Linked DNA regions of Daphnia pulex. The protein of the gene in region 1 interacts with the protein of each later gene in a biochemical or structural test. Links are inferred from orthologs where the notes say so. Each region holds a gene or a part of one and is shown in the gene's direction. Other genes may lie near its edges.

Evidence for each region.
Region 2: the proteins of E3 SUMO-protein ligase RanBP2-like (region 1) and ran GTPase-activating protein 1-like form a complex in vitro, tested with the Homo sapiens proteins (5 studies listed by BioGRID and IntAct, with this or other methods). The link is inferred for Daphnia pulex from reciprocal best matches to the Homo sapiens genes RANBP2 and RANGAP1.

The regions. Positions count from the first base shown.
Region 1 is NC_060024.1:12,885,906-12,890,344, forward strand, and holds the start of E3 SUMO-protein ligase RanBP2-like, read left to right. Parts: upstream 1-1,516; 5' UTR 1,517-1,680; coding exon 1,681-1,752; intron 1,753-1,995; coding exon 1,996-3,862; intron 3,863-3,939; coding exon 3,940-4,439. Other genes in the region: uncharacterized protein LOC124199486, read left to right, coding at 1-851. UniProt on the Homo sapiens protein: E3 SUMO-protein ligase which facilitates SUMO1 and SUMO2 conjugation by UBE2I. Involved in transport factor (Ran-GTP, karyopherin)-mediated protein import via the F-G repeat-containing domain which acts as a docking site for substrates.
Region 2 is NC_060024.1:11,932,178-11,936,706, forward strand, and holds ran GTPase-activating protein 1-like, read left to right. Parts: upstream 1-1,449; 5' UTR 1,450-1,613; coding exon 1,614-1,728; intron 1,729-1,796; coding exon 1,797-1,984; intron 1,985-2,043; coding exon 2,044-2,223; intron 2,224-2,276; coding exon 2,277-2,411; intron 2,412-2,475; coding exon 2,476-2,748; intron 2,749-2,836; coding exon 2,837-3,018; intron 3,019-3,087; coding exon 3,088-3,265; intron 3,266-3,326; coding exon 3,327-3,419; intron 3,420-3,477; coding exon 3,478-3,696; intron 3,697-3,770; coding exon 3,771-3,901; intron 3,902-3,977; coding exon 3,978-4,047; 3' UTR 4,048-4,186; downstream 4,187-4,529. Other genes in the region: NEDD8-conjugating enzyme Ubc12, read right to left, coding at 214-240, 313-426, 540-746, 817-911, 989-1,091. UniProt on the Homo sapiens protein: GTPase activator for RAN. Converts cytoplasmic GTP-bound RAN to GDP-bound RAN, which is essential for RAN-mediated nuclear import and export. Mediates dissociation of cargo from nuclear export complexes containing XPO1, RAN and RANBP2 after nuclear export.

The DNA.
Region 1 (4,439 bases):
ACCCGGAAGCCGAACACGAATTGCTTCAGCGAGGCATTTTCGCTCCACTTATTGAAATTTGGAAAACGAGGACTAGCCGTGAAACCATCGCTACCGTACTGCTCTACATGGTAAATTTTGAAAAGATCCTAATTGGCAGGGAAACCGTAAAAGAAGTTCGAGTATTACTGAAACTTATGATGGATTATTTGGAAGAAAAGGAAGCTTTAGTAGCTCGCCAAACGACGCCAATCAGCGACGAGGATTGGAATATCATCGAGGCTATCCACGAGTTGCTTCTAGCTTCCGTTTCTTCTCTTGAATGTCGCCGGATCCTTGCCAAATACAAGTACTGGAACAGTTTAGCTCAAACTTGGCATCCGGTTTATCTTAAAAGGATCATCAACCGTCAGCAGCACGGGGCTCTGACATCGCTAATTCGTCTTCGAGCTCGCCTTCTCTCCGCTCTGACAGTCTTCCCGGAACCGTCTCTGCCGGATTTGATGGATAGCAGAGTTGCCCAAACCCTTGTGGACGTGGTATCACATCCTTACGGCGCCGACAAGCACGCCCTATCCATTTTACGTAACATGGCTTTCCACAACATTTACAAAAGCCCTTTGTTATCGGCCAGTAACGTTCTTCCTCTCTTTGTGCGCCTTTTAACGGGCAATGCAGCCAATGTCGATATTGCTTCGTCTACAATGGCCGTCACTGCCCTGATCTCTTTGGCGTCCAACAACCAACGCGTTAAAAGCGACATTCGTTCGATGACGGAAGCCTGGTTCCAGCGTAATCCCTTGCTCATTAAGAAAGACCCGACTAAATTTCAAAGTTTATGCCTTAATTTGCAGAAATTAATCGATGTGTGAATTGTTTTTTATTGTGGATGTGCATATTTTGTTAAGTTAGAATTACACTTCATTGTCGTTTATTCGTAAATTTTATTATTTTCAACGAAAAAATATCAAGTGAAAACGAATTCTATAGGCCCACTATATGAAGATAAAAGATTGTGATTCCTTGCCAATTCACTGATTACTTGGCACTAAGAGAAAAAAATTTCTCACTCATTGGTGAAGGCGAATTATCTGGCACGTTTCCAAAGGCCTGATCAATAACTAGTTGAAGGGATACGTCTGGTTATATTTTTAAGGTTCGGGAACGAGACACAAGTTGAGAAATCAAATATTTACGGCTAGACTCCAAGCCATTCCGATTAGCGGACCATGTTATCAATGCATTTAGCTTTAGGACCTTAATATTATTCGACATCCTTTATCTCTATTTATATCTGATGTAGCTAGCTTGGTTTTATTGGTACTGATTGTATAATTGCACTAGTCTTTTACGCAAAATGAATCACTATTTTTTTCCAAGATTTCAGAGCGAGTTTTTTTGTCATTGTCATCGAATGAGTGAGTCATTGTCGAAAACAAAATCGCGCGCAAATGCTTTTGTACATATTTAAAGCAATCTGGCAATAGAAAAGAATTTGAATAAATTCGGAGGGAACAGGGCTCGATTGACTTAATGGCGACTTGGCAACAGCGACGATCCTACCACACGAGGGAAACTAGAGAGTTTATTGCGCCACCACTAGCTCCTCCATATTCAATCGGAAATCCAGTAAATTGTCAAGTGGCCGATTTAGTAATTCGAGTTGTGTGATGATCGAAGCGATAATTTTTTAAAAGAAAAATGCTTCGAACCAAGAAAGACGTAGACAAACATGTTCAAGATCTACAGAAGAAAGTGAACAACGAAAATGAGGTGAGCATCAACGTTTCTTAACTCAGGTTGATTTTCACGAAGTTAGAGAAGCCGGTTTAAAATTTAGTCGATAACAGTTTCGTGTTGACCTTTGAGTATTGCGGTATTGAATTTCCAGATACTTATTTCGTCTCTGACTGTCTATGTTGCACACTGTGTCAATATTTTAGTATAGTTTATCAAAATAATTGCTTGTGCCTACAAATGATGTGTAATGAAAACTTTTTTATATTTTTCTTACAGCGAAAACTCCTTGGCTTCAACTTTGCCAAGTCTTATCATCAAATTGGAGAACACAAGATAGCCAAACAATATCTAGCTTCATATCTTGCAATTAAGGAGTGTTCAGCTCCAGGCCATCGCCTGGCTGGCCAAATTGCAGAGTCTTTAGGTGAAAAAGAGGCAGCTGTCAGATCATACAAAAGATCTTTTGATATTGATAGCAGTCAACGAGATTTGGTTTTCAAGATCTGCAGTTTGGTTTGTGAGTTACCCACCAGCCCAGCCAACAGAGATCTTCAGCAATGCTGGTTGGAGAGAGCTGAAGCATTGCAGCCTCAGCACAGTGTAGTGTTTGAGCTGAGACAGAGGCTAATGCTGTCATCAAATTCCCAAGTAAAAGGAGCAGTGGAAGATCAACTGAAAAATGAAATGCTCAGCAAACCAGGTGACATGAAGCTTCGTATCCACCTTTTAAAGTTGTATCTTGATTCAAACAGAGTCAAGGAAGCTTATGAACATATGCTCAAGATTGAATCCCTTCAAGTATTTAGTCAAGAGCTAGACTGGTACAATTGTGCTCTGAATGTCCTTGAATCCTACAAGAAGCTTTTGGACCACAAAGTGGGGCCTGATTTCTACTTCCACTACTTGAATGCTGTAGACCGACTATCGTTTCTTAAGATTTCTAGAGTTGGTAAAGGCCTTAAATCAGCCCAATCTATCGGTGAGGTACTACCGACCTTGCAATCACTGGACGTCACTTTACAACTAGCGAAAGAAAACGGCGTTCAGCGAGATATTCTGGTACACTTTACGTGTCAGTTGTACTTTCAAGCTGGTTTAGTCGTTCTTCTGAAAGCTCTAGCCGGCCTCGAAGATGAGTACCAAGCCCTGAGCTATGCTGCTACTCTCTTCACCATCGCTTACAACCAGGGTACAACTGGAACCCCCAATCAGTTTGGCGACAAAAAACTTCTAGATTCAACCATTGTGACTGCCAGATACCGTCAGAGTCAATGTGGCCATTGCATCGTCGCCTGGGAAAGCAGAGAAGGTCGTAAATGGGTGGTGGACACTGTCAAGAGGTGTGACAATCCTGACGGACGACGCAAGATGTTTGAAACCGTCTTCGGTGGCGCCTCAACGCGCCCTTATTTCGGAGAAAAATTTCAATTTCCCAAGGAACAACTGGAATTACCTTCTTTTGCTGATTTGCTTGAACTTGATAAAACCGCCCTCCAGCTCTATTCTAACGAATTACATCCAGTGGTCTGGTTGGGCTTAAGATACTTTACCATGCATCGCAGACTGAATGAAACTGACTTTGCATCAGATCTCAGTCAGATCTTGACATCTTCACGCTTCATGCGCGATATCCCATTCTCTTCAGCGTCCTGGAATTCCTGCGCACCTGAGACTCTTTCTGCGCTAGACATGGAGTCATTCGTGTATGCTTCAATTTACAGCACCGTCTCCTTGGAGGAAAACGATTCGAAGGTGTTTGGAACGGTGCCTGCTGCATTGACAAAATCGCTGTGCACAGACCAGCAGTCGGCCTGGTGGCAATCTGCCATCAAACTTATCTCGGGATCGGCTAAAGAAAATTTAAGTGAGCTGCGCCGTACTCTGCAACGAGGTTTGGAGGTCATCCGTCTGTCTGGAAACCAACATGGGATTCCACTGGAACTCGTGGCCAAGCTCGCTCGAACATTTGTGGCCAGGGCTGGGAAAAGCCGCGTGTTCCCTGCCGTTGACGTACCTGCACCTATCTCCACAGATGTGATGACAGTTGAACAAACAGAGGCCCTTGAAAGTCAGGCGACTCGTTATTGGAAAATCTTTCTTGAAATGGCTAATACAGGAAATAGATACACTCCCCCTTTATCTGGTAAGTAATCTATAAAAATCATTGTCTAATCTCTAAACGCAAGTAGCTTTATCAATGTATCAAATCTCTCGCACTAGGACGACTATTCGAGTTTCGCTCAGTAGATGCTGATATTGACGGCCTAATATCAGAGGCGAAACTTTTCTCTGGATACCAGTTGTGGCGTTCTGGTCGACGTGAAGAAGCACTTCGTCTTCTACAGGCGATCTCTGATCCGTACGCTTCATATTACCAAGGGCTCCTCTTCAAAGAGATTGCGGAAGAAGAGTTACGCAAGGGAGCAACCGTGTACGAATCAAGATCAGCAGCCAATGTACTGTTGAACAAATCAAGAGACGCGTTCTACATCACACTGGATCGCCTTCGTAGTCCTGGAATGGAGCGTTTCCATCCACTAGATCAAAAACTTTCAGAAGTCATTGAAAAGGTCGAGACTAAGTTAGGCAGTCTAACCAACTTGTCTATCGCTAATGGTCACAGCACTGAGGAAGAAGAAGAGTCTGAAGAGAGGGAATATCTCACGCCTCAGCAAGTTACTAGCACCCCACACCGAAGAAACGTGATGAACATGACTTCA
Region 2 (4,529 bases), about 950 kb from region 1:
AACCGTGTATCGTTCCGTATATCGAGTAAAGAACGGTGATGGATATTCAAGAAAAAATTACAGCTGAATGATGAAACTTAATAAAAAACTAATGATGGAACGCAAAACACGCGGATGTTTATTTTTTCTGCACATGAAAATTTCCATGTTAAAAATCGTTTGAAATCAAAGTTGAAAAGAGCCATTCGTTTTTTGTTGTATCTGATTCGGATGTTATTTCAAGCATCGTTCGAAATAAACCTGTTTTCCCCAATTAGGTTCAAAACAAGATTGTGTTATTTTTAAATATGATTTCAAAGTAATTTAGCTTACCGAACCAACATATCCCCCTCGCATGGATTTTTGGACGTTTGTTTCGAATAATCGCCGGTTTGTTTGAAGTACTTCTGCAGCTTCTTTATTCAATGGATCTTCTGGATTGGGTTCCTTGAAAATCACACAAGAACAGTGAAATAAAATAACCAACATACATCAATTCTAGGGAATTTAGGACTACTAATAACAAGATGGATTTCAATGAACTGAGAAAAAGAGCTCACCAGGAAAAGGTACTGCAGACCATAAATTATGGAGTTGATTGTTAATACTGGCTTCCAGTCTTCTCGTAGAATGTTAAGACACACATTACCTTCAAGGTCAATGTTCGGGTGATACACCTGTGTCTCACACTTCACTTTGGGTGGTTCATGAGGATAACCAGGACCAACTTTGAAACTAAAAGAAAATTTCCCTCCTCTGTAAAAACCCTGTAACAGAATAATTATAAAAAAGTTTTATAAATCAAATAAATATTTTGCATTTCATAATACGTAATACCTCATCTGGAGAAATGATTAATTTGAAGTTCAGCAAGTCATCTTGGTCAGGAAATTCCATTTGACAAGTCTTGGGTAGATTTAACTCATTAATATCTACGAGACATTATAACAAATATTAAAATAAATGGAACACGGGTCACAAGGTCAGAACTTGTTTTTAGTCAATAGACCTTTGGTGATACGCAGCTGGGCAGCGGATGCTTTCTTTTGATTTCCTGCCCGACCTGGAACTTCATCTTTCTTTTGTTGTTTAAGAGAAAAAAGCTTAATCATGATGTCGGCTCCACAAATACGAGATCTACAAATTTGGGAAAACTTAACAGGGGTTTCCTTCTTATATTTACAGAGGAACCAGTCTAGATTTTATTTGGCCCAATACAGAACAGATGGGAAATTTTTGCTGATTGAGAGGACTAAACAGCAGACTGTTGGAGAAACGTCAAAAACAATTCCATATAAATTTTTTTATGCTGCCAGAAATCCAATTGATACAACTGATTTTTTTAAATTAAAAATAATATTAAATACTGTTAGGTGTAAATTTAGTTATGAATAGTAATTAACAATTCATTTTTCTAAAGTCAATAGGCCTACCCTATTTTTGAAATGTGAAAACGCTGCACAAAGAGAAATTTCTGCTTGGGAATTCGAGGGTACGAGGGAGTCGATAAACCGACTGTTAGCGTTCAAATTAGACACGTGAATTTTTGTCTCAATAGAAAATAATACTACACTTACACTTTAGAGTGTCATCTTGGTTGAACCTGATAAAAATCATCCAACAACTTCGAAGAAATGAATGGGGCAGTGACTAAGTTTAATGGAGACTCTGAAGCCAATAATTTGAATGCGAAAGAAGAAATAGTAGATTTTAGCGGGAAAGGACTCAAGTTAGATACGGAAGCCGACGGTTTGTTCTGATTTTATGTTTGCTTTATAAATGGGATTAAAGTTCTTTTTATTGGAATTTTTCAACAGCCCAACCTATTGTTAATGCAATTCAGGCTGCAAAAGGTTTGACAGGTCTCATCCTTGAAGGAAACACTCTTGGTGTTGAAGCCGCCAAGGCTATTGCCAAAGCATTAGAATCCAAACCAACCTTCCAGAGAGCACTGTGGAAAGATGCTTTTACTGGCCGGTTGAAAGATGAAATTCCAAAAGCTTTGGTAATTTGATTGTGGTGCATGTGACGATTAACAGTATTAACCACCGTTTATTTAAATAGAGTTTCTTAGGAGGAGGACTCATTTTGGCTAAAGCTAACTTAATTGAGTTAGATTTGAGTGATAATGCATTAGGTCCAGTTGGTATGGAAGGTCTTGTTCAGTTTTTGAAAAGCCCTGTCTGCTATTCTCTAAAATGTATAAGATTAAACAACAATGGCCTTGGAATTTATGGTGGACGGGTAACTAAAATTCCATTTATTTGTAATCATAATACTGCTACCTTTTACTTTAGATGCTTGCCCAAGCTTTAAATGACTGTCTTAAAGCCAGTAAAGAGGCTGGTTCTCCATTGAGTCTGAAAACCTTCATTGTTGGAAGAAATCGACTTGAAAATGAAGGAGCGATTGCTCTGTCAGAATTTTTCAAGGTCACTGTTTTTTTTATTTTCAGTAATTATTTAATTATTTTAATTACAGCATATTTGTTTTTAGGCAGTTGGAACCTTGGAAGAAGTCCAGATGCCTCAAAATTTTATAAGACATCCTGGTATTCTCGCATTGGCCAGTGCGCTTGTTTATAACCCTGGCCTGAAAATTCTTAACTTTAATGATAACACGTTCACCTGGAGAGGATCACAAGCTGTTGCAGAAGCTCTTCCAAAATGGCAGCAATTGTCGGTTATAAACTTTGGAGACTGTTTGATCCGTACCAAGGGGGCTGAGTTCCTCGCCAAGGCATTGTCATCCGGACATGAGCATTTAAAGGTAATTTTTGTTGATGTCAATATGTTTAAATTCCTTAATATGGCGTTTCGTAATTCTACATCTATGTATTAATTGGATCGTACTTTAGGAAGTCTATATGGATCATGGCGAAATCAATTTGAGTGGAGCAAAGCTATTGGCTAATTCTTTAAAAAACAAAAAAATGCTTAAAATATGTGATCTAAACGGTAATCAGTTCGGTGAAGAAGGATGTCAGGAGCTCAAGGATATCTTCAGTGGCTTAGGTGAAAAGGTTTTGCTGAGTTTAAGGTATGAAAACCATCAATCCAATATGCTTTAAAATTTGCGATCTCATTTCTTCTTTTTTTCTTCTAAAAGCGATGATGAAGGTGAACCAAGCAGCGAGGAAGAAGAAAGTGAACAAGAGGAAGAGAGTGGCGACGAAGAGAAAGAAGAGAAAGAAGTAGAAAAATCTCTCGATCATGTGTCTGCTTATGACACTTTGCATCAACTTAATGCTAATCTGGCTCAGCTAACTGCAAACGAAGTCATTCCGGTATTCAAAAGATTTCTTAAATCGTTTGTAATTGAATGTTATTTTACGACTATCTTAACAGTCGACAGTGGAGGCACTACTTGCTGCACCCACTTTGGCTCGCTTCAATGGGTTAGGTGACCAGAAAAGCTCATTGATTCTTCAACATGTCGACGTAGGTTCGCAATACAAAAAATTGTGTGACCTCATTTGATAGATTTTCCGTATTTTAGCGTTTGATTGCTGCCAAGCCCGATGCATTATTTGCCGTTTACGCTGAGGTCATCATGAAAGTTAGCTCGACCGTCAATCTGAGATCGGAGATATCTTCAGTCGAAAATGTTCAACAGTCCGTTGATGCGATTCTTAAAGCGGCTTTCGAAAAGGCCAAGTCAATGGATAAGATGTCTGTTCTTGATAACACACTGCTAGTGTACATGGGTATTCTAAAGGTAGTTATTGACAGCCACATAATTGTCTATGTTTATGACAGAATTATCTTATTATTGAACATTTCTTTTGTTAGAGTGAAGATAAACAATTTCGACCCACCTGGCCTCTGAGCGGATTCTTTTTGATTCTGGAACGCATCCTCACCGTTGATCCCAATAACATTCCACTCAGCACTCTACAATCTTTGCAAACCTTCTTCACACAGTAACAACATTTATTTGTCAATAATATATAATAATAATATTTATTTTAATGTATAAACTATCTTTTCTGTGCATAGGCCTCATCCAACTTTTGACATTTATAAAGAAGAATCCGATAGGTTAAAGAAAATTCTGAACAAGTCTTGAAGAAGAAAATGGAAATCTTTATAACTCACCTTTAAACGCTGCGTGTTCTTTCACGGATGGTGTGTTAAATACGTTTTTATTTGTTTCATCCTTCCCAAGTACAATAAATGTTTCAGACGTGGAAGCTGAAATAATCAAATCATGCATGCTGTCTGAATGACAGTGTCGCTTAGGTTATTTAAGAATAATAGGTCCTCCTTACCTTTCCGCCCCTATGAAGATTAAACTAGAGTATGGATATGCCTTACTTCCTTAACCCTAAAATTAATGAAATATTTAGGACAAGCCTTTCTCACTTATTCAAATTCGAATTAGGTCTGCCTGCCAGTTGCGCCGTTCGCAGTAATCAAATTTGGAGAAACGCAAGAGTTGATCCTTTTAGTGGTCAATCGTGGTAATATGGCGGCTAAACACATGTACTGCTTGGCCAGATTTATTTAAGTGACTGTTTGATTAGAGAAACGGACTTTAGGGAGGAACTC